Linked DNA regions of Daphnia pulex. The protein of the gene in region 2 binds, or shares a complex with, the protein of the main gene of each other region. Links are inferred from orthologs where the notes say so. Each region holds a gene or a part of one and is shown on either strand. Other genes may lie near its edges.

What was found.
Region 1: general transcription factor IIF subunit 2-like (region 2) and DNA-directed RNA polymerase II subunit RPB2 share a complex: the UniProt entries of both Homo sapiens proteins name them as parts of the TBP-based Pol II pre-initiation complex. The link is inferred for Daphnia pulex from reciprocal best matches to the Homo sapiens genes GTF2F2 and POLR2B.
Region 3: general transcription factor IIF subunit 2-like (region 2) and transcription initiation factor IIA subunit 1-like share a complex: the UniProt entries of both Homo sapiens proteins name them as parts of the TBP-based Pol II pre-initiation complex. The link is inferred for Daphnia pulex from reciprocal best matches to the Homo sapiens genes GTF2F2 and GTF2A1.
Region 4: general transcription factor IIF subunit 2-like (region 2) and general transcription factor IIF subunit 1-like share a complex: the UniProt entries of both Homo sapiens proteins name them as parts of the TBP-based Pol II pre-initiation complex. The link is inferred for Daphnia pulex from reciprocal best matches to the Homo sapiens genes GTF2F2 and GTF2F1.
Region 5: general transcription factor IIF subunit 2-like (region 2) and general transcription factor IIH subunit 5-like share a complex: the UniProt entries of both Homo sapiens proteins name them as parts of the TBP-based Pol II pre-initiation complex. The link is inferred for Daphnia pulex from reciprocal best matches to the Homo sapiens genes GTF2F2 and GTF2H5.

Annotation. Positions count from the first base shown.
Region 1 is NC_060022.1:1,079,715-1,086,039, forward strand, and holds the start of DNA-directed RNA polymerase II subunit RPB2, read left to right. Parts: upstream 1-2,695; 5' UTR 2,696-2,846; coding exon 2,847-2,865; intron 2,866-2,929; coding exon 2,930-4,415; intron 4,416-4,486; coding exon 4,487-5,033; intron 5,034-5,110; coding exon 5,111-5,572; intron 5,573-5,635; coding exon 5,636-6,325. Other genes in the region: kunitz-type protease inhibitor 1-like, read left to right, coding at 1,975-2,032, 2,126-2,427. UniProt on the Homo sapiens protein: Catalytic core component of RNA polymerase II (Pol II), a DNA-dependent RNA polymerase which synthesizes mRNA precursors and many functional non-coding RNAs using the four ribonucleoside triphosphates as substrates.
Region 2 is NC_060025.1:405,346-410,902, reverse strand, and holds general transcription factor IIF subunit 2-like, read right to left. Parts: upstream 3,485-5,557; 5' UTR 3,331-3,484; coding exon 3,137-3,330; intron 3,068-3,136; coding exon 2,916-3,067; intron 2,790-2,915; coding exon 2,703-2,789; intron 2,639-2,702; coding exon 2,514-2,638; intron 2,454-2,513; coding exon 2,310-2,453; intron 2,251-2,309; coding exon 2,134-2,250; 3' UTR 1,919-2,133; downstream 1-1,918. Other genes in the region: 40S ribosomal protein S3-A-like, read right to left, coding at 1-84, 149-384, 445-528, 733-765. UniProt on the Homo sapiens protein: TFIIF is a general transcription initiation factor that binds to RNA polymerase II and helps to recruit it to the initiation complex in collaboration with TFIIB.
Region 3 is NC_060018.1:12,589,559-12,595,653, forward strand, and holds transcription initiation factor IIA subunit 1-like, read left to right. Parts: upstream 1-2,131; 5' UTR 2,132-2,254; coding exon 2,255-2,278; intron 2,279-2,422; coding exon 2,423-2,612; intron 2,613-2,655; coding exon 2,656-2,754; intron 2,755-2,825; coding exon 2,826-3,026; intron 3,027-3,098; coding exon 3,099-3,220; intron 3,221-3,299; coding exon 3,300-3,569; intron 3,570-3,639; coding exon 3,640-3,747; 3' UTR 3,748-4,129; downstream 4,130-6,095. Other genes in the region: histone acetyltransferase Tip60-like, read left to right, coding at 1-63; serine/threonine-protein phosphatase 2A regulatory subunit B'' subunit gamma-like, read right to left, coding at 159-276, 343-470, 535-748, 813-949, 1,012-1,200, 1,270-1,438, 1,499-1,608, 1,672-1,776 and 1 more. UniProt on the Homo sapiens protein: TFIIA is a component of the transcription machinery of RNA polymerase II and plays an important role in transcriptional activation. TFIIA in a complex with TBP mediates transcriptional activity.
Region 4 is NC_060018.1:349,664-356,093, reverse strand, and holds general transcription factor IIF subunit 1-like, read left to right. Parts: upstream 1-2,898; 5' UTR 2,899-3,207; coding exon 3,208-3,225; intron 3,226-3,284; coding exon 3,285-3,320; intron 3,321-3,378; coding exon 3,379-3,452; intron 3,453-3,519; coding exon 3,520-3,797; intron 3,798-3,877; coding exon 3,878-4,177; intron 4,178-4,242; coding exon 4,243-4,489; intron 4,490-4,553; coding exon 4,554-4,813; intron 4,814-4,872; coding exon 4,873-4,948; intron 4,949-4,999; coding exon 5,000-5,200; intron 5,201-5,262; coding exon 5,263-5,470; 3' UTR 5,471-5,630; downstream 5,631-6,430. Other genes in the region: regulator of microtubule dynamics protein 1-like, read right to left, coding at 1,428-1,469, 1,541-1,655, 1,720-1,857, 1,919-2,226, 2,286-2,434, 2,496-2,725, 2,789-2,871; uncharacterized protein LOC124188758, read right to left, coding at 5,761-5,898, 5,959-6,049, 6,102-6,203, 6,264-6,393. UniProt on the Homo sapiens protein: TFIIF is a general transcription initiation factor that binds to RNA polymerase II and helps to recruit it to the initiation complex in collaboration with TFIIB. It promotes transcription elongation.
Region 5 is NC_060021.1:7,406,552-7,411,449, forward strand, and holds general transcription factor IIH subunit 5-like, read left to right. Parts: upstream 1-2,699; 5' UTR 2,700-2,708; coding exon 2,709-2,801; intron 2,802-3,085; coding exon 3,086-3,193; intron 3,194-3,263; coding exon 3,264-3,353; 3' UTR 3,354-3,381; downstream 3,382-4,898. Other genes in the region: alpha-ketoglutarate-dependent dioxygenase alkB homolog 4-like, read right to left, coding at 1-2; septin-1-like, read left to right, coding at 408-440, 539-644, 709-795, 859-982, 1,052-1,186, 1,256-1,373, 1,433-1,542, 1,621-1,758 and 4 more; perilipin-2-like, read left to right, coding at 4,881-4,898. UniProt on the Homo sapiens protein: Component of the general transcription and DNA repair factor IIH (TFIIH) core complex, which is involved in general and transcription-coupled nucleotide excision repair (NER) of damaged DNA and, when complexed to CAK, in RNA transcription by RNA polymerase II.

The DNA.
Region 1 (6,325 bases), on a different chromosome or scaffold from region 2:
GATTCCAGGATATTGAAGGCAGCAGGCAGCTAAACCAGTCCTTCACACAAGGCAGAAAAAACGTATTTTTCGGGACCTTTTTCCCACCTCGTCCTAGTGCGTCTTACATTTTGATTAATCAAAGGCCATCCACACCAAAAAGCCTTTTTTTCTTTTCTCGTTTGGGCATATTACATATATAGACTGTGTTCAGGCAAATTAAATGACTGGTCCTTTTCTGGCTTTCAGCCAACTAAGAACCAAGCATCACCTAGCAGAAACTGTTATCAGATACGAAATTAATGATTTTTAAATGTAACATAAGACAATCTTATTTAAATATTTTTACCTATGCACTAAAGTTAACAGTAGAGTCAACTGATGATACAGCGAATAATGCTGCACAATAGAAATTATTCGGTACTTTAACTGAACATAAGTTTCTATGTTTTCCGATTTCGCCCAGTAAAAATAACATAGCGAATAAGAAAAATGTGCGGAACCTGTTCTTTCTCTCTTGAATCGAAGACGCCGAAAAATTTTGAGAACATGTAAACCAGTTTGCTGTTTATGCGCTTCGTTTTTAGATGTATCTAAAATCGTGATGTTGCTTATTCTCCACCCTGTGGACAACTTGTTGATGATCAAGCTTGATAATTTTTTTTTTCAAGGATGACTTGCTGGCGAAGACTTCTGGAATTTGCCAGTTACGGAAAAGGTGTGACCAGTCGCAGACCCGACCTATAAAAACCCGCCATCCGACACATCTTCCTCAGTCGAACGCAGATATTGCTCAGTACAACCACTTATTACTCGCAATATCCAGTAATTTTCAAACTGAAAATGTCATTCATTATCCTGCTCTGTCTTGTTGCCTTCGCTTCGGCTGCTCCCCGTAAGTTAAATCATTAAAATATTATTAGAACATAAAATCTAGCTGTTTAATTGAAATTGGCTTTTCATTTTTTAAATTTTGACAGAACGAGCTGCCGTTCCAGTCCTTCAATTAGACCCCGTTTGCCTATTGCCTCCAGTTGCTGATTCTACACAAAACTGCAATAACTACTCCGTCAAGTACTATTTCGATCCGGTCGATGGCGACTGCGAAGATTTCCTTTATTCCGGATGCGGCGCCACTGAAAATGTTTTCAACTCCGAATTGGCCTGCGAACTCCGCTGCGAAAATGTCCACGATCAATTGAACAGTCACGAGAGCATCGAGGTCTTCGGGCGCTATTGGGATTAATTGCAACGCACATCTTTTTTCATGCTCTGTTTCAATCGTGCAATAATTTTTTTTCAGTTTGATGTGTTTGTTGAATTTCAATCCAGGTTATACTGTACCAACTTATTATTGTTGACATTTTTCTCAATCCGCAGTTATCTTTTTTTGTTAACTTCCCATGTAATCCGATATAAATACAGTTGAAGTTTGATTAGAATACATTTTTTCAGTTTTAATATAATCAAGTTGGTTTACAATTAAAATTTAATTTAATTCAATAAATGAATCAAATCAATATAAATTATACAAATAAAACGGAAAACATAAAATTCGAAGCCAATTCGAATTCTCTCTATAATTCCGAGCTTATGTTTAAGTAAGTACATTTGAAATTCTGATATAAAGAGCCCGGAGCTAAATAAATAATTGTGCAATCATGTCGTGCATATATTTTTCAAAGGAAGACAATGATCAAGATGATGAACTGTACAAACCGGTTATCGATATGTGTGTGTTTAATTCTTTTGCGATGCGCGCTTTTCTCTTTTCTCTTCCTTTAGGGGTGAATGATTAAGCGGTTATTTTTATTTTGGTTACATCGCGAAAGGTCAAATTCATGTTTTTTCCAGCTATAATGCCCGATTGCAGGGCTGTAATTATCTCTAGCGGGACTATAAGTACCAGCCGGTCGACTCCTTCCTTCTTCAGTCGAAAGCAGAAGAAGGTTTTTCCCATTTGCTCCATTCAACTCCATAAACTTCAACCGGAAAATGTCGGCTACGTTCGTCGTTATGCTCTGCCTCGTCGCTTTCTCCTCTGCTGCTCCTCGTAAGTGATTTTTTAAATCTAAAATTTTAGTTTTATGTAACATGGGCTTTTTCAAGCAATGCTCTTTTACGATTTATGAATATATTTGAATAGAATTGGCGGTCCCAGTACCGGTATTTGCTCAACGACCATTGGATCCGGTTTGTCTCTTGCCACCACTCAACCCCAAAGTGCGTTGCAATCAATTTTCCATCAAGTGGTACTACGACTCTGCTACCAGGGATTGTGAAAAGATTTTCTACACTGGCTGTGGAGGATCTGAAAATCTATTCGCCAGCGAAGACCTTTGCGAATTGCGCTGTGATCAAGATAATTTCGACAGCTACGAGAGCGTTGAGGACTTCCAGCAATATCCCTCGTTGCAGAAATTCAGATATTTCGTTCTTGGCAAGTAATCAATTGATGTAAAATGCTTTTCTCTAGCACAACGTTGTTATTCTTTTATTTTAAAAAGTAATTTAAAGAATTGTTCTTACATTGATCACATGGATTGTCTTTCAATGTAATCTATATTATTCAGTTAAAATTAATTTTGAATACACTTCTTATTTACTCACACAATACGAGTTGTTTCGTGTTTTAAAGAAAATATTTTTTTACCGACTTTTAAATAAACCGGCGAAATTAAAATATATCCGGCAACGCCACCTTGCGTCTCATTTTCGATTTGGCCGGCAGATGTCGAAATTGAGTTTTTCCGACAAGTGCGACAACAGTGAACGAAAGTCGACTGCCGGCTGCAAAGGCCAACGAATCTTTACATTGCAGTCGTTTTCTAATTCATAATTAATTTGTCGATTCGTATAATAACACAATGTACGATCAAGACGAAGGTAACATCAAAATATGATGATATTCATACATTTTTTTCTCATTCTAACGTGTCTTTTACTTAAGATCCGATCGAGGATGAAGATGGCGAGGAAATCTCTTCAGAGCTTTGGCAAGAAGCCTGTTGGATTGTCATCAACGCATATTTCGATGAAAAAGGTCTTGTGCGACAACAGCTTGATTCGTTTGATGAATTTATTCAGATGTCTGTACAAAGAATTGTTGAAGATTCACCTGCCATTGACCTTCAGGCAGAAGCCCAGCATTCTTCGGGGGAAGTAGAAAACCCTCCGAGATATGTCCTAAAATTTGAGCAGATTTACCTCTCGAAACCTACACATTGGGAGAAAGATGGTGCTCCGACAGCCATGATGCCTAATGAAGCAAGACTAAGAAATCTCACCTACTCTGCCCCGTTGTATGTTGATATCACGAAAACTGTGCACAAAGAAGGGGAAGAGCAGGTCGAGACACAGCATCAGAAAACATTCATTGGCAAAATTCCTATCATGTTGAGATCCACTTATTGCCTGCTGAATGGAATGAATGATCGTGATTTGTGTGAATTGAATGAATGCCCTCTCGATCCTGGTGGATATTTTATCATCAACGGCTCAGAAAAAGTATTGATTGCTCAAGAGAAGATGGCCACAAATACAGTGTATGTCTTCAGCATGAAGGACGGCAAATTCGCTTACAAGACAGAAATTCGTTCCTGCTTGGAACACTCGTCACGTCCAACCTCCACCTTGTACGTCAACATGTTGGCACGTGGTGGTCAGGGCATCAAGAAATCCGCCATCGGCCAGCGTATCATTGCCATTCTGCCCTACATTAAGCAAGAAATTCCCATTATGATTGTGTTCCGAGCCTTAGGTTTCGTGGCCGATCGAGATATTCTCGAGCACATCATCTACGACTTTGAAGACCCCGAAATGATGGAAATGGTGAAACCTTCGCTGGACGAAGCCTTCGTCATCCAGGAGCAGAATGTTGCCTTGAATTTCATCGGTGCTCGCGGTGCCAGGCCTGGTGTCACCAAAGAGAAGCGTATCAAGTACGCCCGTGAGATTCTCCAAAAGGAAATGTTGCCTCACGTTGGTGTGTCCGACTTTTGCGAGACGAAGAAAGCCTATTTCCTCGGCTACATGGTCCATCGCTTGCTGCTGGCTGCCTTGGGACGCCGTGAGCTGGACGATCGTGATCACTACGGCAACAAACGTCTGGATCTCGCCGGACCGTTGATGGCTTTCCTCTTCCGAGCCCTTTTCAAAACTCTCATGAAAGAAGTCCGAATGTACGCACAGAAATTCATCGATCGAGGAAAAGATTTCAATTTGGAACTGGCCATTAAGACCCGCATCATCACCGACGGACTCCGTTACTCGTTGGCCACAGGAAATTGGGGAGACCAGAAAAAAGCCCATCAGGCCCGCGCTGGTGTCTCTCAGGTGTTGAACCGATTGACTTTCGCTTCGACCTTGTCACATTTGCGTCGCCTCAATTCGCCCATTGGTCGTGACGGTAAACTGGCCAAACCTCGTCAGCTCCAGTAAGTCATTGATTTCAAATTATTTTCATCGGCTTTTGTTTATTACATAACATTTTTTAAAACTATTTTAGCAACACGCTGTGGGGAATGGTTTGTCCAGCCGAAACGCCCGAAGGAGCTGCTGTCGGTCTCGTCAAGAATTTGGCTTTGATGGCCTACATTTCAGTCGGTTCCCAACCGTCGCCCATCCTCGAGTTTTTGGAAGAGTGGTCCATGGAGAACTTGGAAGAAATCGCTCCGTCTGCCATTGCGGATGCCACCAAGATTTTCGTCAACGGTTGCTGGGTGGGTATCCATCGCGACCCGGAGCAGTTGATGGCCACCCTGCGCAAACTGCGTCGTCAGATGGACATTATCGTGTCTGAAGTATCGATGGTGCGCGACATCCAGGACCGTGAAATTCGAATTTACACGGACGCCGGCCGTATTTGTCGTCCATTGTTGATCGTCGAGAACTGCAAATTGTTGCTGAAGAAGCGCCACGTTGACATGCTCAAACAGCGCGAGTACATCAATTTCAGCTGGCAGGAACTGGTGGCCACTGGTGTAGTCGAGTACATTGACACTTTGGAGGAGGAGACGGCCATGATTGCCATGTCGCCCGAGGACTTGCGCCAGGTAAATTTTCTGCATTGATTTTTTCTTTCCCTACCCCACCCCATCCAGCCGTTGAATGTTTTGCTTTGTTTATCCAGGGTAAAGACGCCTACTGTACGACGTACACGCATTGCGAGATTCATCCGGCCATGATTTTGGGAGTTTGCGCCTCGATTATTCCGTTTCCCGATCACAACCAGTCGCCTCGTAACACTTACCAAAGCGCCATGGGTAAACAAGCCATGGGAGTGTACATTACTAACTTCCACGTCCGGATGGACACTCTGGCCCACGTCCTGCAGTACCCTCAGAAACCTTTGGTCACGACACGCTCCATGGAGTACCTGCGCTTCAGAGAGTTGCCCGCCGGCATCAATTCGATTGTTGCCATTCTCAGCTACACCGGATACAACCAGGAGGATTCCGTCATCATAAACGCTTCCGCCGTCGAACGAGGATTCTTCCGCTCCGTCTTTTTCCGATCCTACAAAGATCAAGAGTCTAAACGATCGGCCGATCAGGAGGAAACGTTCGAGAAGCCTTTCCGCGATCATTGCCAGGTAACCGATCAGAATTCCGGAATTTTTTAACTTCTTCGGTAATCACATTTTGTTTTCGTCTAGGGAATGAGAAATGCCATTTACGACAAGTTAGACGACGACGGCATCATTGCACCTGGACTTCGTGTGTCTGGCGATGACGTGGTTATTGGCAAAACGATCACTCTTCCGGAGAACGACGACGACCTGGAGAGCACCACTAAAAAGTTCTCGAAACGGGACGCCTCCACTTTCCTGCGTCACTCGGAGACGGGCATTGTGGACCAGGTGATGCTGACGTTGAACGCCGAAGGCAACAAGTTTTGCAAGATTCGCGTCCGCTCGGTCCGCATCCCGCAGATTGGCGACAAATTCGCCTCCCGTCACGGTCAGAAGGGTACGTGTGGAATTCAGTACCGCCAGGAGGATATGCCGTTCACTTGCGAGGGCCTGACTCCCGACATCATCATTAACCCGCACGCCATTCCGTCTCGTATGACAATTGGTCACTTGATCGAATGCCTTCAGGGCAAAGTGTCGGCCAACAAGGGCGAAATCGGCGACGCCACTCCGTTCAACGACGCCGTCAACGTCCAAAAGATCTCGAACCTCTTGCAAGAGTACGGCTATCACCTGAGAGGCAACGAAGTGCTCTACAACGGCCACACTGGTCGCAAGCTCAGCGCTCAAGTCTTTCTCGGCCCGACCTACTACCAGCGTCTCAAGCACATGGTGGACGACAAGATCCACTCTCGAGCCCGAGGTCCGGTCCAG
Region 2 (5,557 bases):
TGACCTCGAAGTTTGCCAGATACAACAACTTCACAACCCTTAGCTCCAGACTCCATGATGAAACGGAGAACACCATAACAAGCTCTGTGTAACAACACATTACATCAGAAATGCACTATTTAAACGTCAGCCTATTGAATTAGCTTACCTGCGAACAGCCAAACCACCAATGAGTTTGTAGCGCAGGGACTCAGCTTGGGCAATAGCACACAAGCCACGAGTAGCAACCTTCTCAGCATAGAGCTCAACAGTTCCCTCTTGGAAGCCAAATCTCTTTTGGACAACAGATGTCAACTCGCGAATGCGACGGCCTTTCTCACCCAAAACATTCTGGGTACGTGTAGCCAGAATGATGATTTCTGTGCGAGTGGGGGCAAGGCGCACCTAATAGGAAAATGGGTTTTAGATATCTACACAGTAACAAAATAATTTCACAAGAATTACCTCAACTCCAGAATAACCATCTTCGGCCAATTCACGGGTCAAGAAGGCGTTCAATTCAGCCTTGAAGACACCTCCCGCCACAAACTGTAATACAAAATTATAAGAAAATTAGGTAAACTCAAGCACACTGACAATAGAAACATGTCAAGCCAAGACGAATTTTATCCTCCAAAATCTTTCACATCCTGGTTAGAAACTGTTCTATTTCATCAATAACACCTCAATATTCAAACGGTGAATATGTGAGAACAAGATGAAAAAGATTCACGTGTTGAAAGAATTACTTGCCTTTCGTTTTTTCGAGATCTGAGCCGTAGCCATTTCACGTATTTTAAGACCGGTCTACGAGAGGAAGAAGGAATACACAGTACTTTTTCTGTAGACGAAGTTGACAAGCCCAGCATTGCCTCCTTCTCAACCCCCTCTTTCGGAATTCATCTTCCCACATAATTTATTTCAGTTTGCTTTTTAAAATTTTTTCAACTATCATTATAGAAATAATAAATTATAAACAAGTTTAATTGGTTCATATTTGTTTAAAAGATTTCAAAAGTTTTATTGTAGATTTTCCATCTGTCAACTCCGACAGGAAGTCCGAAATTCAACAGCGTTGGACGAAATCAAATGTTATAAGTAGGACTGTAAAACGCCATTTGAAGCATGTGAAGCTCCCCCATCTGGTTTGATTGCTGCTAGCCAGTTTTGTATTCGTTTCGGTAAATATCTTATTTAATTCATGCAACTAAGACTGAATTTTGCATTCCTTTGAACCACACTAGCTCTACTTAGCTTATAGTGGCCAAGCGGACATGCTAAATTAAAATTTATTCTGATCTACCGTTGTCTCCTTATTTGGAACACATGGATTGAACCGAATTAAAACATTTGATAGTAGTAACATAAAGTAATTGATGTTGAAGGCACTGAGGCACACTGTGGATAATTTGTTGAAGTGTGCTTTAAATGGTTTTCTATGATGTTGAAATGCTAATTCTTATTCTGTTGTTGTACAGGAACCCTCACATCGCTACCTGAAGTTGCAGATTTCCTGGTGAAATAATTCTGTTTGGTGTATTTTATAGTATCTATATTGACAAATAAACAATTTTTAAAATTACATTCTGGCAAATTGTAACTAGTGAAAATTAAAACAAATTAATTTGTAGATAACTATATTCAGCGTTAAATTGTTGGTTGAATCATGGTTGGATGATGAATCTCATCAAGAGACAGGCTGTTGCTATTCTAATAGATTATGGCTTTTGACTGAGATAATATAATGTTAACTGTAAGTAGGGTACCATGAAAAGCTGTAAATATTAACATGTAACCTTTTACTTGATTCTTGTTTTTACAATCTTACGATTCTGTTTAAAAGGGGTTCCTCGTTAGCACATAAGCCTACTTTTCGCACTGAACTCGCTCATGAAATCATTTCTTCCTGATATGGTTGGGATAAATTATATTGGTAAAATTTTCAAGTTCGCATCGATGTATTGGACCACACACTTGTTAGCACGGGAATTTTTAGACGAAGGGAAAATTGTAGCCTAAGAGAACATTTTATCGAACAATTTCAAGGGCAGTTGAAACCCATTTGAGTTATCTGAAGTTATGTGCATCCAAGAGCTGTTTAGTAGTTTTCTGAAAATCACAGCTTTATTAGAAAGTTAATGGACTGTTTACTTATTAGTCCTTGTCTTCATCTTTGTAGTGGCGGTATTCCGGTTTCAGTTCCCACATGTTTTTGTGAGGATTCTTCAAATTGTATACACAAACATCCTTCAAAATTTCCTTGAGGTAGGTCTATAAAAGCAGAGGGTTTTAAAAGTGCAAATGCTTGTATGAAAACAACTTTTTCTTACCACAGGTTGGTTGGTGAGTTTTACCAAGTCCTTGATGTTGTAGTACTGATGCTTTTCAAAAGCTGCAAACAGCATGTCCATAACTTTGCCCTTATCATCTCTGGCTTTCTTACCCTCAGCTTTCTTCTTTTCGTCGAATTCTTTCTGTAATCAGGAATAAAAGGTTATGATGTACCAAAAATAGACGAGAATTGCTATATTTACATTATGCTTGTGGTCAGAGATGGGTTTGTAACTTTGAACCACTCGATCCAATTGCTTCACAATTCTTGTAGGTTGGGCAGCTTTAATCAAAGAATCCCTTTTGAGTTTCATGTAACTTGCATTTGCTGATGAAAATAAAAATCATTAATGCTCACTTCAAGCTTAGGAACTTTATTTTGTTGGTCTCACCTGTTGGTCTACATTCAAGCTTCTGGGCAACTTTGCCTTCAAATATGATCTTCTCAGTTTCCATAGGTGAGTTCGCGGTGGCTGGAGCTGGGGAAACAATACAAAAATGTCAATATTAAATTAGATTAATTGCAAGCACGCCACTTTAAATATCATGCTTTAAGCTCAGGCCTAAAATAAAAATCTTCCCCATAACTGTCAAGTAGTACGTACTGGTTTGTTGAGAAAATACACCCAATGTTTGTGAAGTAATGTGTGAAACAATCAATCCATGCTCTTTAGGAATAGGTTCCTCTCCTTTTTCCTGGAGACACATAATAGCTTCCGACAGAATAAGTTTGACTTGAGACTTTTGTCCTTGCACCCTGAACAAGAGTTGTAATGAGTTAATAAAGGATTTGTCGATTTGTTAACATAAACCAATTGATGCATACCTAGTAATATTCAGTTGTCCAGCTGTAATATTTCCAGGGCATTTATCCCATCGACTTGAAATGTATTTTGGTACTTTCACCAACCAAACACCCCGACTAGCTGAAGACATTTCCATTTCCCTTTCATAAACGATGACATCTTTGTCTTTCTCCTTGTCTTTCTCTTTTTCTTTCTCCTTTTTCTTTGACTCCATGGTTTTCAGTTTTAAAAATTCTGCTTCAACGTACTAGAAAAACCTATTCAAGAGAATGTAGTTCTAAATATTGGCCGGCTTTAATAAAACAAGTAATCGTTTCTTCTTTCAATCGACAACGTCACACAACTGAAAAGGTCTTCAAGTCTATCGTCTGCTATAAATCGCGCCAGAGCGCGTTCTTTTGTTTTATTAGATAAGTTTACGCAACCATCAGTTCGTCAACGCATTTTTCTTTAATAAAACCCCCCAAAAATCGAAATGGCATGGAAATTTAATGGCCTTAAAAAAAATAACTGATCAAATTTGTTGTTGCACAATCCCTTTAATAAGCTTTTAACAGGAAATAGTTTGATTGGCCAACATTTTTTCATTTAGCTTTTTACTCCTCCTCAAATGTAACCCTGATTGCATATCTCAATGCTCAAATCTCAAATTTGTTTCAGTATGAATTCCCTAATATTATTATTATTATTATTTTCTTGCCTTTCTAGATTTATAGGAATTTGCAAATCAGGACGTCTATCTGTGTAACTTTCAGACGCGGAATAATGTGGTATTTTTCATAACGCCCCGTGAGAAGTGATTCGGAATGTTTGGAATTTTAATAAGTACGAAATCACCGGAATGCCTGGCCAAGTATATAATCGCCCTCTGAAACAAAGCAGAAACTGGGAAACCTCTTTTTGTACTAGTTGGTCTGATTCGATCGGAATATGTATTACCACTTGTAACTGGATTCAAAATCAAACAATTCTACGAAATCGAGAAAGTTATAACAACTAGATTGGTACTTAAGGCGATGTCTTGTGGGGGGACAATGTCCGTCCACTAACTCCTTTTACTATAATTGAGTTCTATCACTAGTACGAATTGCTATACATGTATAACATAGATTTGTCTAAACAAGAGATGGCGAAACGGTAAAAATAAAAAGAGCACAGCAATTTGAAATTCTAAACGGGTTTCCCTTTCTCATGGTGGCCGCTGGTGGCGGAATCAAGAAGCTGACGACCAGGCCAGCACTCCACTCCGTGATCGAATATACAACATACTTGATTGCGCTTTGAAATGGACAGTGCGAGAGAATAGAAACATATATTTTAGTTTGAAAGTTGTATACACTAGTCCAAGATAATTGAAAGAAATTATCTACCGAAGAAAGAACGAATAGGCTATTTTAAATTTGATCATTTTACACTGGTGAGTATAAGCTATAGTGAGTCTAAATATTCTTGTCGAATGCAAACGAACAGAGAATAAAAGTCATAACCCAAGTTGCGGTTATCGCACTTTAAACTGCAATTTGTATTCCAATTAGTACATTCAAGGTGATTAAGAAAATGTGTGAATTAAATATTAGGCTATTAATTCGGTTATTGCGATTTATTAAAAGATATTTCATATTCAACCTATGATTCTTTCATTGTTATTTATTTCATAATAAAATCAAAGAGTAAGAAAACATTTTATGAGCTTTTATGAAAGTAAAGTTGTGCAGCCAACAATCTCAAGTATGCCATCGCTTCAAGACCAACTCTTCCAGGAACACATAAAATCATGAATATTTAATTTCGCCATTCGTCTTCACGGCTAATTTTTCTTGCCTCTTGCGTCTTGCAATGTGTGAGTTCTAATTAGTTTAATTACTATTCTCCAGCTTCCTACCGTCTCCCTCTAAGCCAAAAAATAAAAATAAAATAAAAAACAACTTTTTTTAATTAGTGAACCCATGAAAGTTAAAGAGAAAAAATATGAAGGATGATCCGTGACCGCCCATGTGACTGGATTTAATACGTTATCCTGTCTATTTTAATCTTTACAATAACAATAACAATCTGCAACAATTATGAATAGAGAAATTTCTAATTGATCGCAAAAGTACAGACTACTAAAACAGAAATGACAAATGTGTCGCGCATTATCTGACCTATATATAAACGCCACATCGCTCATTGGCGATCATAAAATGCTACCTTGCCCCCACTAGATAACACAGAAAAATAAGAAAATAAAAAACCGTCACCTGTCGGCCAAATTGGAATCATCGGTTAGCTCACAAAGAATATTCCCTGCTCCACCCCCATCGGTCTTATTTTAAAAAAAGTTCCTACCCTGAAAGTCGTCGTCGTCGGCAACCATCGTCGTTTTCTTTCGGGCTGTTTAAGTATGCTGGGCGCATATACATTGGTTGCTGCGAGTAGTATCATTACGGGCGTAAATAGAC
Region 3 (6,095 bases), on a different chromosome or scaffold from region 2:
CACATCGATCCCAAATGCTTGCACTGGACACCGAAAGACTGGTCCAAAAGAGGGAAATGGTGATGAGATCGCACCTACAATCCATTCCGCGATCTTGCTACTTCTTTGCTTTTTTTTAAAAAATACACTCACAATTTCTATGTACAAGAATTCCAAATTCAAATGTCCTGTTTCTCTTGGTTATTCTTGTCTGTTACGACAACAGCTTCACGGTTCTCGTATGTCCAAAATCCATCCAAATCAATCAAGATATTGATCACAGTTTCACCGTATCCACTGAGCCAGAAAACGTTCAATGACAATCTTATTCTAAAAAAATTCTAAATGAACTTTGTGTGTTACCAGTTAATCAAATCATGTAAAGTGATTTTTGACGGATCGGCAGGACGCACCATATCGAAAATCTCATCATTGACGTCGTCAAAAGCAACGACTTCTTGTTTGTGCTGCTGCATCAACTCTTGAACCCCCTGCAAAGCATTTTTTTTTTTTTCAAGATAAGAAAGTCAAAAGGTCAAATGAGGAAATTAATACTTTGAAGTAAAAATGGAGGTCAAAAGTGTTGAGATGGTTTCGATGATTGACGTCCAACAAACGGAAAAAATACTGAAGTGCTTGTGGTTCCTTTTTATTGTCCATGGCCAATACGAAATCCAAGTACGTTTTATAATCCATTTCTTTCTCATAGGTCATGCACTCCTCGAATACTCGTTGAATGAAAACTCGCGTCAACGTGCCAGTTCCGAATCTGAAAATTAAATTTAAAAAAAATCTTAAATGTACGTACTGCAAATTGAAATATGGTAAATTACCGTCTGAGCTCTTCCTGACAAAGCATGCCGTTTCTGTTGGTATCTAAATTTAAGTATTGACCGTAGACTCTCAGAGCGGAGGGCGCAGAAAACCAGTTTGAATCCTGTGCATCTTTGGGCAGCTCTTCATCCCGTAGCTGATGAATTATAATATTTTTAGCGAGAAGAATGACAAAAGAATCAGGAATATACTAAATACCTCTAAAAGTTCGTCCAGAAAACCAGAAGCGAGAATATCCTGTATCCTGACTTTGCCTAGCTTTAATGGATCTAGGAAAAAGAGGAACTTGCGTACGGCGGTACAGACGTAAAACGAATGGAATGACTTTTCAAGCCCTTCTAACTGTGGCAATGTTGGGATAAGTTCAGTTATGTAGTTCTCTAAATCCTGGGAAAAACAAAAATAGATAAGTAAATTACATATTGCAAAAACAAAAAACATATTGCTGATGTTCACCATTTCAGTAAGCAGACCTTGTCCTGTGGCATCATATAATGAAAGACCAATTCTAGTTTGCTGTAACCAAACTTTCCTCATGATGTAATTGAACACTGCCATGGTTGATATTCTGCCATGAATATCATTCTGCAATAGCCTTGCAAATACATCTGGTGTAAAGAATGCTCTGTATAGGGGAATTCAAAAAATAACTTGGTGTTCCCAATCAAATATTTACATGTCTTACTTATATTTTGGACCAGCTATGTTGCCTACTTTGAGAAAATCAATATAATTGATCATCTGCTCAGAACCAGCAGGAGGGCTGTGATTTTTGTCAAGTAAAGTCCAGAGATTCTAAAGACAGGATGAAAATCTTATTTACCAGTAGCACAAACACTGGCAATGACATTAACAAACCTGCAGTTCATTGTTATCGAGGAGTTCTTTGCTCTTCTTCTGAAGGAATGCTGTTCTAGCTTCTTCTCTCAGTTTAAGGCTAATCATGTTTTCATGATTAGGAAGCTGTGTAACAAAAACATAAGAAATTTATAGGGAATCAATTGGAAGTTATGCTTACTTTGGTATAGAACTTTGGAACTGGCATGCTTTCTTCCGAGCATTGCTTGCTATATTTGAGACCTTCGGAATACAACTTTTGGAAGGTATCTTCATCTTCGGCGTTTAAAACCAAAATCTCGGATTTTTCATCCATCTCGTTGATGAAAATCAACGAATACTGAGACTTAGGCCGCTAATAAAAACGTTTCTTGTTCATTCGATTCAAACGTGTCGAAACGATAACAAACGGCTTTACTTTTAGCAGAAAGAATGTTTTTTTCGACCGCTAGATGCTATGCTTAGCCAAAATCACGCTTCGTGGCGCTGCCATCGGGGGCATTTCGATATATATTGCCGCGTCAGTCTTAGTTTTCATGTCGGCTTCCTGTTGAACGAAGCCCTCCCGGAATTGAAATCAAATAAAATTCAATTTCGTTAAAGAATGGCCGCCAATCAGGCACTCGTGGTATTTATTTACCTTTTACTTTATGATAATATTTCATGGGGAATAGTACCTGGAAACTGTTGTTGCATTGACGATTCCACTCCACGAGCTCGATCTCACTCCTCGTTGGTCTAATTAAGGACTTTTATATTTCTTTTTTTGTAGTCGAAACTGTATCGTGGCGTTATTGAAGATGTTATCAACGGGGTTCGAGAGGCGTTTCTTGACGAAGGAATCGATGAGGCTGTACTTCTCGAATTGAAGCAGAATTGGGAAAACAAATTGCAGTCCAGCAAAGCAATCGACCCTGTGACCGATCCTGCTGAAACTTCTCTCCAAAGCAAACTGCAACAAAGTATCCAATATCGATTATGAGACTTTATCATGTATGAAAAAAGGGTCTTCTTTGCCGTCAAAAGCAGGTCAGCAGGCTAGCTCTACAGCTCCTGCGAACAATTCTACACCTCAACAGGCAGCCACTACGGCAAAGCAACCAGGTAGTTGGGTATACTGTTACATTGAGTGCATTATTATTAATTGTTTTGTTTGTTTGTTTTTATTTTCTCTAAAGCAGCAGCAGCAGCCCAAACCCCAGTGACTACCCCTAATGCAGCTACAGGTGCAGCAACAACAGCAGCAGCTGCAGCCCCTGCTACGACAACAGTAAGGACGGTGCCAGTCCAAATCACTGTTCCTCCTCAGGCTGGAGTAGCAGGTCATACAGCAGCCAAGAGCATCACTGTTCACGTTCCAGCTCATGCTCTTCAAGGTTATTTCCCAATTGAATCTCGTTCGTACTAGCTCCAATCTAATTTCTTTACTATTTGTAATAATGTCACAGGTGGCGCAGCGGGAGCGCAGCTGCAAACGATCCTGAGTTCACCGGCTGTGACGGCGGCTCTCTCTCTTCCAGTTGAAATGGCCACGACTGTCTTGCAGCAGCACATTAATAACGCGTTGCAGGTACCATTGGTTGAAATTGAATCCACTCGAAAGTGTATATAATAATGTGTGTACAATGCATTATTACTTTTCTTTGTAGTCGACAGCTGCACGGAGCCAATCGCGAACTGACAATGGAGGAGTCACACAGTTGGATGGACCCGGAGACTCTTCGGACGACGACGACGATGTTGAAGATGATGACGATGACGACGTGGAAGAAGAGGACGATCATGACGACGAGGAGATTGACGCAGACAACGAAGAGAACGCAGACGAGGAGCCACTCAACTCTGAAGACGATGTGACTGATGATGATCCCTCAGTGTTATTTGAAACTGATAACGTCGTCGTGTGCCAGTACGACAAGGCAAGGATTTGAATTTTAGCATTCGAATTGGAATTGAAATGTTTTAAATGACTTTTTTTTCTATTTGTAGATTACGAGAAGTCGAAACAGGTGGAAGTTTCATCTCAAGGACGGCATCATGAACATTAACGGTCGCGATTACGTCTTTCAAAAGGCCAACGGTGATGCAGAGTGGTGAAAATATTCAAGGTTGAAATTGCGCTACTAGGGGAAAATCAAGATAATGTTTCATTTAATACAATCCGGAGGAATTTCGCTTTCAATTTAAGGATTTTTCGTGTGCCTGTGCGTGTGCATGTGCGGAATTTCTTTTTTCATGTCGGGTGTTGGATGAGCGGTGGAGAGGAAAAAATACCTGGGGACAAAGAAACAAAAGCCATTCGTGTTTGTCCTCCCTCGCTTCTTTTGTTTCGTTTCTCTTTTTTTGTTAACACACAAAACTTTCCGAATTCTTTTTTTGTCTCATCTTTTCCCTGTTCGCTGCAGAAGCTGTTGTCGCCCCCTTTTGATTCAGGAATATTTAGAAGAAGAAGAAAAATATATGTTCAAATTACCAAGAATTGCAATTAGTTTTCGAGAAGATTCTAATAACGTGACCCAAAACTAGTCCAAGACCCAGGGGACAATGTTACTAATTACGGTACCGAAAAATTCTTGTAATCGTATACAGTTGGTGGTGGACATTTTCAATGTTAGTCGGAAGAAATCTAGATTAGGTTGTATACATGGGAAGTCATTCAGGCGAGCGTACGGGGACTTGAAAGCAAATAACCAAGTGGTCAAAAGCTTACATCCGTTTGCAGTCATCACCGGGGAATTGCTCATCCAACTATTGGATTCGGTACACGTTAATGGAGTTTCTACACGATAGCAGCGCGGTAGGAGTTGTTGGCGTCCGCCAAAAAGTTTCCTAGAGCCGTTAAAAGGCAACCAGCACAAAACTAAACGAACTTTGCTGTTGCCAGGACCTTAGGATTCGACCTGCTGGACTCATTATCAAAACTAAAAAAAAAACGAGGGGAAAAGTTTCAACAAGGACGGACTGGGGCGTTCTTCCATCTGCTTATCATGAAAATAAATTCAAAAATTTCTTTTTGAAATGGTTGATGTCACAGGGGAGGACATGTTTCATGTGAATGATATGACATGAACTAGTGAAATGTTTACAGTATATTCAGGATGGCTTTTAATCGCGTGTCACAACATCCGTTCCTAATGAGCGCTCCCAGTCGTTGGGGGGCTGCTGCTGCTGCCTGTAGCTAGCCGGATGGATGGTTCCATGTTTTTCAAGTGGTGACGACAAAAGACGGCCAACCAGTCACGCACATGCTTAAAACACATGCCGAAATGTAACTTTGTTCACGTATACCCCAGCAATTGGAAGGACCCTGTAAACTATAAAAATCATGGAAATAATTTGGTTAAAATAATGACTATTATTTAATGTGATGATGGAAGAACCTAAGTCATTAATTAGAACAAGTAGACCTACTCACCAGTTTTACAAAAAACCATTTCACGTCGCTATGGTGATCGTCCGTGCGTGTATAATTAGACAATTAATTGCCTTTGATTCCATGAAATCTAAATCAGGTCATATAGTTCCGATTTGACACGAAAAGTTGAGTCAATTATATCGCACGAAAAAATGGTTTTAAAAACATACAATCAGTCAAGTTACAGTGGCAACTTTGGTCGAAAGTTCGCATCTCTTAAATGTGAAACTTTAAAAGTGAAAAGTCCAATTAATCTTATAATTAAATGATTCCACCATGTCACACTTAGAATTCACCCTTTATTCGTCGAGCCATTGTTTAAGTGCATGTTAAAAACAACAGCAGTATCCTATAAGCACATGAGAAAACAACACAACTTTTTTGAAGGGCGTAATAGCTTTTAGTCATTTTCGGGAGAACGAATCTAAATATTTTCACTGGATGGAAAAAGTTTTTGGGAATTAAACAGCTTGACGTTGTTGAGTTATTCGCTTATGCGATGACAGCGGATCCCTCGAGTGTTATCCCAAGACTATATAAATAACCTCCATCGTTATTACGATGCCTATCATCTTAGGGCTTCAATTAAGATCCTCCGTATAATGGGATTAAAACGAGTTTTGTATTTCGAATTCATTGGATGATGACCTTTTTAAAAATAGGGTGGGATCCTTTAGCTAATAGATTGCAGCACGCAGGACGAAAGGGTTGGAGGAGATCGGATCTTACGGGATCGGTTTGAGTCACTTTCATTCCACTGGGAAACTGCTGCGTCATTTCTAGCGGCTCGTGGCTGCACTATGCAACGTGAATATTTCAACGACCGCATTCTCTAGTAGTGGTGCTGCGATATATTTCGAAAAATAAAAAACCCCAAAAAACCACTCGACAGTTCGCCTGATCCTCGCTGACCCATATCCTATACAACCCATAAACCGTCTGGCCTCGATACATGATATGAAAATATGCAAAACAGGATCAATATTGAAGTATCATACCAGACGGTACATCACAGACGAATACCATTTTA
Region 4 (6,430 bases), on a different chromosome or scaffold from region 2:
AACTGGTTCTCGAAAACCATCCTTAAGGTCACAGGGTTTGGGTTTTTTCTTCAGGTGTGCTTTCAAGTTTGGTGAAATGTCTAACCCGCCAGATAAAATCTCTCTTTTGCATCTAGCAACGACATGGCATTAAAATGATTTCTGGGAAAACTACACGCGTTTGGCTACATGGCGACATGTAAAAACCAGATTTTTCTTGTCTACAACAACTATCGATTCACATTTGCGTATCATCGTGGACCATTTCATGTTTAAAAAATCCCCCCGTTGGCCTGAAGTGAAATAGCTTTGAAAATAAGACATTCTACCCAGACATATCATTCTTTCTCTTTGGGTGCATTTCATTTTCGGCCATATAAGTGTCGATCCGTCTTCTTCCAGCGCGGCGTTTTCCAATTGGCCAGTCTCGGTTGGATAACCGTAGGGGTTACGTCACGCGGACCCGTAAAACTATCGATGCGTAACAACACAGTCTGAGTGCCGGGACGTTTCAACGTGTAGGCAAATAACTGTTGGCTCTCACGAAACCTCTCCTTAAATTTCCCTATTAGGAATTGTGTGCGCATATTCCAACAGGTGAACTCCCCGTCCTGGGCCCCTCAAGGCTCGTGCGCAACGCGGGACTTTCCCTCTGAAATAGTAGCTTCCACTTACACCTACACACAATGCCAAAGTGTGTCATATACTATTGCCTTCGTTTTATCTCTACCCGCACGAATTGTATACGCAGTTGGTTATCTGTTGATTTACAGACGCCAGACGAACGAACCAGTTCGGTTGCCATACAACCAGGCGGAGTTGTACACAATTTTAGATTCCAAGCAGACACACACACGAATGATAGTGAACGAAAATAATCGAGGACTTACTTTTCACGTGATCGCCAAACAGACTGCCAGAAAATTTCCACAACCACCTGTTTTGCCTAATTAAAGAAAACAGGATTTTCTTTTAGTTGAATCCAACAGGGAAGAGATGAAACAAAGTAAAAACTTGTAGAAACAAACTCCTGACCTAGCAGACACAGTCAAATAAACAAGTCCACAAGCTCAGAACTACACGAAGCAACTCACAATGCCGACGGACCGTCACGTACAGATAACACATACGTCGTATCCTTTCCCTTCATATGGCTGGCGGGGATTCTAGCTCGGCACATTTCGGGCTGTGGTGACACGCAACGCTACCTATCGGACCTATCGAGAACAAGTGAATGAACTTTGTATTCGTAAACACGCACGGGGAAATTTGGGAAACTGTTGCACTATTGCATGTTGTACCGATAACACACACACAAGGAAATCATTTAATAATAAAAAAACAAACATTTTTGATTAAATTTCAAGGTAAACAGAAGAGGCGCATACATTTTTCTTTATGTGGAAGGATATGGGTAAATATCCTCGAGCGTCCTTGGAGCCAGCGGCCTATCTGATGGAATTTAATAGCTTGACTGCCTCGTGTTTGGCCTATGATATCAATGTAAAACCATTTTTATCAAACAATAAAATGTAGAAAAGGTTAATGCGTTATATGTCACCTCCAAATCTTCTGACGAGGCGATAGCATAATCTCGAGCTCTGGTCAAATAAGCGATAGCTTTTTCTTTATTGTTGAGCCGCAAATATGTTTTCCCCAGCATCAATAAATTCGTACTGAAACGAAACCATTCAAAATGCACAATTATTTAGAAAAATGAAAAATTAAACCAAGCCGTACCTGTAAAAATTCGGCTCAACTTCTTCCGCTCTTAGGAAATACTGCAGTGCCTCTTCGTAAGAAGATACGGGCGGTGTAGCAAACAAGGTTGAGGCAATTTGCCTCTGAAGCCACGGCAATTCAGCAACAGAAAAGCACCTAAAGTTGCACGAAAATGTGTTACGTTACATACAAAAGAAAAGTTGTTATCTTGTCATACCAGTAGCCTAGCAAATGAAATGAAGTTGCATCCTTTGGGTTGAGTTCACACGCTCTTTCTATGTGTTTCTTGACGACAAACGATTGAGAAATGCGCTCCTTTAAGCCCTCGTAGGACGCCTTTTTATCTAACAAAATAAACATCCACTTGTGAGCAGCAAAGTTTTCCGGATCAATGAGCAGCGCCCCTTCAACATAACCGTATGCTTCAAAATCTAATTCTTTTTGTTCAATTGGACTGGACGATAATTTCGCTACTTCATACGTCGCTCGTGCCAGTCGCCAAAGAATTTCGGCATTATCTTCGGCCTAAAAAAAGTTTTTCCAACATTAAAACAGAGACTGACAAATCAGTTTATTCTTATTACCTTGTAGGGCAACAGAAGACTTCTCAATTTGGTGTAGGAATGCTCATTGTACAAGACATCAGCTTCAGAAATAAGATTGGTCTTATTTTCTCTTTCTTCATCAACTTTTACACTAGCAGAGACTGCAGGTAACAAACCCAGCATCCATCCTGCAGATTAACAAGTTATTGATTGTTTTTGTTACATGAATTCAAAAATTAGGCAACTTACCAATGTTTCTTGAAACTAGAGCTGGTTTCTTAGGAACAACATTCAGGAATCTTTTCCTGTACACAACAAATGCATGGTAAACTATTCCATATATTTTTCTCCCAGAGAACGATAACACCATGACGAACGCTTTCCACAACAGAAAGAAAATAAATGACGAAAAACGAATTAGGCAGTTGAGAATAGATAGGTAATCTAATTCCATGGCGACCAAAATTGGAACTAACGAACTTCAATAGTTGAAAAATGAATAATCATTTACTTTACTTGTAATATTACTTAACAATTTAGACCTCTTTATAAAAAAACTTTTTGATTGGCCATTTTTGGATATTTTAATAAGGTAAGTGAGAAATAGCCTTTCACAATTTATCATGTGGTTCAAGGCGGGAAGTCGACAGTGCAGTCTCGACGTGAAAAGAAAAGAACTGAAGCAGACGAAAACTGAACTGGGTCGTCGTCGACTATTTTTCTTCAGTATCGGGTCGGGTATAAAATTCGTTGGCGCTGTTTAAAGTGTCCCAATATTTTTTGGCATAGAAATTTCGATCACCACCCCTTAATTTTGGCCTATAATTTAGTAACGTGCATAGTTGGGTTAGTTATTTACCATTCGTGACGAACTTGTGACGAACACATCGGTGGTGTGTCTCGATCATTGTGTCGCCGGTGAGAAGTTGTTTTGTCAATCGTTTTTCACCGTCACATCATAATGTCTGCTGTTAACAAGGTACAATTTTTTTGTCTTCTCAATCAGTTAATTCAATATTAATACATGTGTTTCTCAAGACTCCTACTGGTGGATCAACTCCTGCTGCTACCAGGGTAAAGACATTTTGGTTTTTAATTAATTAGTTCAACATAATAATATGTGTTACATTAGACTCCAGCTGCTGGTGGATCAGCTCCTGCCGCTGCTGCTTCTAATGTTCAGACTATTGACATTCGAGTCCCCAAGTAAGAATATCAGACATTACCATCTAGATTTTTGCCTTCTTAAACCGAGTTTATAATGTTGTCACAGGAACATAAACAAAAAGCTTGCCATCATGAGATTCAATGGCTCAATGGGTATTGACTTTGTACAATGGAAAGATCCAAAAATGGAAAGGGAAAACAACCAAGTCACATTCAAAGGGTTCAATGAAGATATGCCAAAGTTTGGTGCTGGGAGTGAATATGGCAGAGAGGCTCGTGAGGAAGCTAGACGGAAGAAGTATGGCATAATAAGCAAAAAGTATAATCCTGAAAACCAGCCTTGGATTTTACAACATGGGGGAAAAAGTGGGAAAAAGTTCAGAGGTATACTAAAGTTGGAAACCAAGCTAAGATAGCAATAAGAAAGTTTAGTAATGTGCAATTATATTTATTTTATTAAACAGGAGTAAGAGATGGTGGCATTAATGAAAATGCATCGTACTACGTTTTTACGCAAGCACCAGATGGTGTGTTTGATGCCTTTCCTGTGCAAGAACAATACAGTTTTCAAGCAGTTCAAAATTACAAACCACTGAGTATTGAAGAAGCAGAGGAAGGGTACAACATGAGGAACAAAACATACAACATGTTCAATGTCATGATGAGAAAGAGACTAAGGAAAGACGATGAAGACGCCGAAGAAGAGGGCGAGGAAGAAGGTGAAGGCAAAGGAAAGAAAGGCAAGAAAAAGAAGGGAGCTAAAGGTAGGCAACAAGCAAAAGTTCCACCATAAATAATGTCACAAAATTATAACAACTTTTGCATTCAGATTCTCGTTTTGGTGATGAATTGGACGATATGATGGCATCTTCCGATGACGATTCTAGCGACGGCAATGATGATAACGACGACGATGATGGAGAAAGTAAGAAAAAGAAGAAGAAAGGCAAGAAACCTGTTAAGCCGAAGAAGAAGCGAAAGAATGCGTCCGATGATGAAGCTATCGAAGATAGCGATGATGGTGATGGTGAAGGCAGAGAGTTGGATTACATTTCCTCTTCCGACGATGACGAAAGGTATGTCATTAATCTTGATGCATTTGTCGATTTTCTAACACACCCGCGTTGTTCTTTAATCTAGTGATTTCGAGAAAGAAGAAGCAAAGGACGGACTAAAGGGTGTTGCCGAAGAGGATGCTCTCCGCAAGTTGCTTAACTCGGACGAAGAAGATGAAGACGAAGAAAAGGAGGAAGAAGAAGACAAAGACAAAGAAGAGGAAGATGCTGAAGGTGCCGAAGACCAGCAAGGTGATAAGGCTTCCAAAGACGAAAAAGGCGACAAAAAGAAGAAGAAAGAAAAAAAGAAGAACAAGGATAAAAAGCCCCGCAACGAGGATTATGGTAATATCCATTTAAAAACATCGTGTGTTTGAGTCAAATAATAACGAAACATTTATCAGGATCGTCAAGCGACAGCGGTGCCGAGAGCTCAGCATCCGAACTGGAGAAAGCTAAACCGAGCCCAAAAATGAAACCGTAAGTGCAGTAATTTGGTTTCCTGACAGTTAACTGACAAACTATTTCTAGGGGGAGTGCCAACAGTTCTAGATCAGCTACTCCGACGAAACCTGAAACATCGCCGCCTAAAACAACGCTATCAGATAGCAAGCGAAAGGGAACACCTGCAGTGTCCGATGCTCTTACTGGCCAAGCAACAAAGAAACCTCGATTGGACATGGCATCCGCTGCTTCAGCTGCCTCTGCCGCTTCAGCTGCATCATCATCTAGGTATTTATAAATAATGAACTAAAATTAATCCTGAAACGTTATGTATATTTTTTCTTTTACAGTGCCAATGAAGGAGTCAATGAAGAGTCTGTTAGACGTTATTTATCCCGCAAGCCAATGACAACGACCGAATTGCTTCAGAAGTTCAAAAGCAAGAAAACTGGTTTGTCGTCGGACCAGCTTGTCCATCACATTGCACAAATTTTGAAGAAGATCAACCCCGTGAAGCAGACAATTAAAGGGAAGATGTATTTGTCGATTAAGGCTTAGCGACAATAACGATGATTGGTGTGTTCTGTTTGTGCTGCAATCACTATTGCTACTTTACTGAAATTATCTCAGGCCTTCCCTTTACGGTTTATAAAAACGGACTAGAACGGTTGTTAAAATGCGTGATTTTCGGAACGATTAAACAAATTTGCAGTTGTAAGTTTTGGTATTATTTCAACAAGTTATCTGTTATTGGAAACACTTCACATTTTTAGATGAAAAACAGCCATTGAACTGACAAGTTAACATTTCTTGGTGGTGAGCAAGGTGCTGGATATTCGTTCAGAATACTATAGAGAGAAAACTTGAAGTCGCTTTGACATGTCTGCTTCGTCGTCTGTGCAAGCCCTTTTCGCGTTTTCAATCAAGAATTCAATATCTTTCTGATAATCGGCGGAATATTCGGCGACACTTTCGACGGAGAATTTCTGGACTCGGAAAATAAACATTAAAAGTGTATCAAAAACTACAAACATAAAGTAACCTACATTAGCAGCTTCTTTCATATAATTTGCAGCAGCTTTCCAGGATGGAGCAAATCCAAATGATACAGTCTTATTCATGACCATTGTCTCAATACTAAGAATTGGATACTTTAGTTTCAGCACAAATTTTATCATAACATGCAAACCTTCTTTGAATATCATATGTGACAGAAATCAAGAGTTCATCAACTTGTGGACATAGATATATAAAGTGAGGTCCATCATTGGTATTGACAAATTTAGTTAGCCTAATTAACACAAAGTTGAAATTCTGCAGTTAAAGAAGTATGCATGAATCAAACACTCACCAATTAATTTTCTCCTCATCGTAGGCTTCATCTTCTGTCCAGTGCTGAAAGTAACATTTAAAGTCGATAAGCAGGAATGTGGCTTGGGATGCTGGGAAATAGCAAGAGAATGGCACCAAGCTTTCTGAGTCTGACCAAATGGATTCAATATTAGTTAACATACCTTA
Region 5 (4,898 bases), on a different chromosome or scaffold from region 2:
ATCGTTTATAGTTTGTTAACAAAACGTTTACTTCCGAACTTTTTTAACTGTCAACAAAAGTCAACGCAAACGAAATTAAGGAACACATGACAAAAAAATCGTCTGCTGACTGGTTGAAGTTTCCAGCGTTGAAGTTTTTTGATTTTGTGTTACATTCTTCTTTTTCTAATAATAAATTGCGATCTAATAAGATGATTCATTACACAAATTTTTTTCCTTTTTTATTTTTTTGTCTTTTTAAATTCAAAATTCATGAAATAACAAGAGCGTTTTGGGTCGTACACACCCATAAGATTGCAGCGCCGCCACTACGGTTTTCGGTCGTGGACTTGATATTTGATAACTGTCACTCTGTTTTTTGATTATTTTTATCTTCTTCAAACTCTTGTTTATATTATCTTCATATAATGTCTGCTGAGTCAATTAAAAATCCTGGCGGGGTAACGGTTATTTGTTTTCTTAATTTTTTCGTGCGATTTGTTTACTGTCTAAATGAAACACGAATGATACTTAAACATGTACTCTCTTATTGAAACAGTTTACCAACCCGGAAATGCCGGGATACGTAGGGTTCGCGAATTTGCCTAACCAAGTTCACAGAAAATCTGTTAAAAAAGGGTTTGAGTTTACTCTGATGGTTGTCGGTAATGACAAAGCAATTGTATTTCATGTCATCAACTCTAAAGATTTTTATTTTGAATCCATTAGGAGAAACTGGGCTTGGCAAGTCAACACTAGTCAATAGTTTATTCTTGACTGATCTTTATCCTGAACGAAATATTCCATCAGCTGGAGGTTGGTGCTTAGAATTTAGCTAGAAAATGCTTCAACGGTCATAATAGAATAATTTTTTCACAGAACGCACAAAGCAGACAGTCAAAATTGATGCTTCTACTGTGGAAATTGAAGAAAGGGGAGTCAAGCTCCGCCTTACAGTGGTTGATACACCTGGATTTGGAGATGCTATTGATAATACAGATTGGTAATGAAAAAAAATCACTTTTTAAGGCCCATTTTTGATTTAATTTTAAATTGTCTTAATTTTGTTTAGCTTCAGATCAATAATTCAGTATATTGATGACCAATTTGAGCGTTTCCTGCGCGATGAGAGTGGGTTAAACCGCCGTAACATAGTCGATAACCGGGTCCATTGCTGTTTCTACTTCATTTCTCCATATGGACATGGGTATGATAGATTCCACTCGTGATTCAACTAGATTTCACAGAATGTATTGGCTAATCTTTTCCTAAATAGGCTTAAACCCCTTGATACGCAATTTATGAAAATGCTGCATCACAAAGTCAACATCGTGCCTGTAATCGCTAAAGCAGATATGCTAACAAAGAAAGAAATTGCTCGGTTGAAGAAAAGGGTAAAATTGTGACCAACATTTAGATTTATTATAAACTTGTTTAACTAAAAAATTATTAGGTCATGGAAGAAATTGAGGCAAACGGAATTCGTATTTACCCACTTCCCGATTGCGATTCGGATGAAGACGAAGACTACAAAGAGCAAGTTCGTCAGCTTAAAGACGCAGTGTATGTAATAATTCATTCAGACTAATAACAATTATAATTCATTCATAATAATAATAATAATATAATTCATTTATTCAGACCTTTTGCTGTATGTGGGGCCAATACGTTGATTGAAGTTAAGGGCCGAAAGGTCCGCGGACGGCAGTATCCATGGGGTGTCGTTGAAGTTGAAAATCCTGAACACTGCGATTTCATTAAACTCCGAACGATGCTGATGTAACTTGTTTGACTCGTCAAAGATCGAAAATCTTGCATTGCACTAACGTTTAATTCTTTCATTATTTAGTCAACAGCTACAAGATTTACAGGAAGTAACACAAGATGTTCACTATGAGAACTACCGATCAGAACGTCTTGCTAAAGGTGTAGCTTCGAATCGAAAAACCGCTGGGCCAACTAATTCCACCGCGCCATCGGCTGCTCCGGAGCAGATTAGTGAGAAAGAAAAAATACTTCAGGTTAGTAACTATTGTGTTATTAATAGACAATGGAAATAGTGTTTCGACCGTTTGCATCATTGTTTTGTTCTCACAGGAAAAAGAGGCGGAGCTACGACGTATGCAACAGATGTTGGCTCAAATGCAAGCACAAATGCAACAACAACAACCTCAATAGCACTGTGCGTCGTCTTTAACAGCAATTTTCAGTTGTCACTTAAACCAAAAGGAATTCTTCTCTACTGTTTTGACTGTTTATTCAGCTTTGATTGCTGTTTCAACACCCTTGGCACTCTTACCTTCCAATGTGAAGATCTTAGGTTTCCTCGATAAAATCCCATTCAAGTGCCAACATTTAACAAATTCGCTGTGCTTCATTATTTGGTCACTTCACTAGTAATTTTCCTCATTTGCGTACATTCGAATTTTTCTTCCATGTAGGGCAATTAAAGCCCAGATGCGCCTCGAATATCCTACCCAATCATTTTCTTTTTAGTGTCTCGGACTCTCGGTACTGGTCGCAGTATTTCAATATACAATTTTTTCAGACTCTTGCTTCCTTTTTCCCATTAAAAGATTTAATTTTTCTTAGTTTTCTTGAAGTGAAACCAAACCTTTATGAATGGAAGTCTTGTAAATTTTTATATAATGCGCCAACAAACTCCTTTCCCGCTCAATTTAAGACGCCACCTACCGACGCCAATCAAAAGCTGGAAGTGCTGAAAGAAGATGCCAAAAATCCAAAATGGTGATCAGACGATCAGTTACTTACTTACTTTTTACCAATGGGGCAAGATGGTAAACGTAACTAAAGGAATTCTGGTAATAATTTACGGTAAAACTTATAAATGCCACTTGATTTATTATATCTTTGTATTTGAAGTATGGTATTTTAACTTACTTCAATCACTAGTGAAATTGACTGTGCTGGTAAAAGTTTCTTGTCAGAAAGAAAGCACAAAATATTCGATCGGACTATCCCGTGGAAATAGTCATAGATTTAGAAATTAATAAGTATCTCAGGTGGCAACTTATAATGGTTTACCTTTTCTTTACATGGTGCTTAATTGTTAAATTTATACTTGAATTTGTATTATTACCCAAAGGTTGAATGTGATGCTGCTATGAAACAATTGCTTCTTCATTTAGACGAGACACATGCTCTAGGCAACAAATTCATAGTTCAAGATTTGGATGAAACTCACGTTTTCATTGTAAAATTTAAAAAATACTTCTATTTTCTCATATTTTGTATTTTTATCTTTTTGACATTTTCTCTGTTAGGCACCTGAATATCTGGAAGTTTTGCAGTCTAGAATTGATGATTTGATGGACAGGATCAGTTTTCCTTTGGCAGAAAGAGAAATCGAGTAAATTATCTATCATCATGAATTCATCTCAGAGAGAGTCAGCCCGTCAGAAGGATGCCAATTCCAGAAGGGTTTTGGATGAGGCAGCTCGTAGGAGAAGAGCAAGGAAAGCATTGGAAGCACTTGAGCAAGATAATTTTCATGATGACCCTCATGCCAATTTAGGTATTTTTGTAAGTTGGCTAGTTTTCAGATCTTTCATTAATTCTGGATATTTATGCAGTACTAAGCAAAAAGATCCCCAAGTTTGAAGAGTCTCTTGATGGTAAACAAACAAGAAGAAGGAAATCTAAAAATTTCGAAATTTTCAAACAACGGTATTTTGTTTAATATTAATTGCTGAAACGAAGTGTAATTCTATTGAAGTAATTTCTCCTCTTTTACAGGTTTCGAAAATCCTTTGCACAGCTGTTGGAGGAAGAACAGGTTAATCGCCCAGAGCCCCCAAATTATGTTTCAGCTCAAGTTCCACCATCTAAGTTTCCCGAACGTCATTTTTGTGCTGTTTGTGGATTTACTTGTAGTTACACCTGTTTATCTTGTGGCGCAAGGTACTGTAGCGTCAAATGCTTAGGTACTCATCAAGACACGCGTTGCTTGAAGTGGACCGCCTAATAATATTCCATTGCTTTCTTACTTGTCATCTCATCAATAAACCCTTTTCGATTATACTTTTTCTTATTAAATGAACAAATAAATCAGCGCTCCTCTAACTATGATTAAAGTGTATTAAAATGCTCATATAAAAATCCTTTTGATTTTGGGCAAATTATAAATATGGAGCAACAGCACAAATTACATGAAGCTCGGTAGTCCTAGAAAATTTCATTTGCTGAAGCCTGAAGGCTTGATTATTAAGGAGGTAGGGGGCAATGCACGTGTTGGGGAAGAGGGTTGAAAAGACAGTCACAACAAATACTTAGAAAATGACACGAGGCGACGAAATACATAAGCCTATAAATGACCTTGATAGTACGTCTGAATAACGCTAAAGAAACTCGACCCCTTTTTATCAGATCGAATGGTTTCTCCTTTTCTTCCCATCCTTCTTGCACTTGCGTCCCATTTGTCGCATTTCAGGCGCATTTATTTTAGTATATATATTCGTCGAGATCTCGTTTCTTCATTCAGTCATCGTGTTCCGTCGTCTTGAGTGGATCTCTCCAGAGTTCCAGCGTCTACGGTATACAATTAGCGTGAGTCTGTTTTATTTTAAATACAATAAGGTAATAGAAATTGATTGATGTTTAATTAAGCTGTGTATAAATAAGTTGTATTAGAGTACTTTGTTTTAGTTTCTGGAGTTGCAATTAGAGTTAAATAACTGAGAATTTATTAAATAAGAAATTGTTTCACTTTGGAGTGTTGATAAGTGAGAAATTAGTCATAAAAGTTAACAGTATGCTATTTATTCGTATTTATTACGATGTTTATTTTTTAAGTGATCATGCATCATAAATATCATCTTAAAGGGAAAAGAAACAAGGGCAAGCAAGCACCACAAACACCAGCAGCACCAAACTTCAAGAAGATGGTTCATTCTGACATC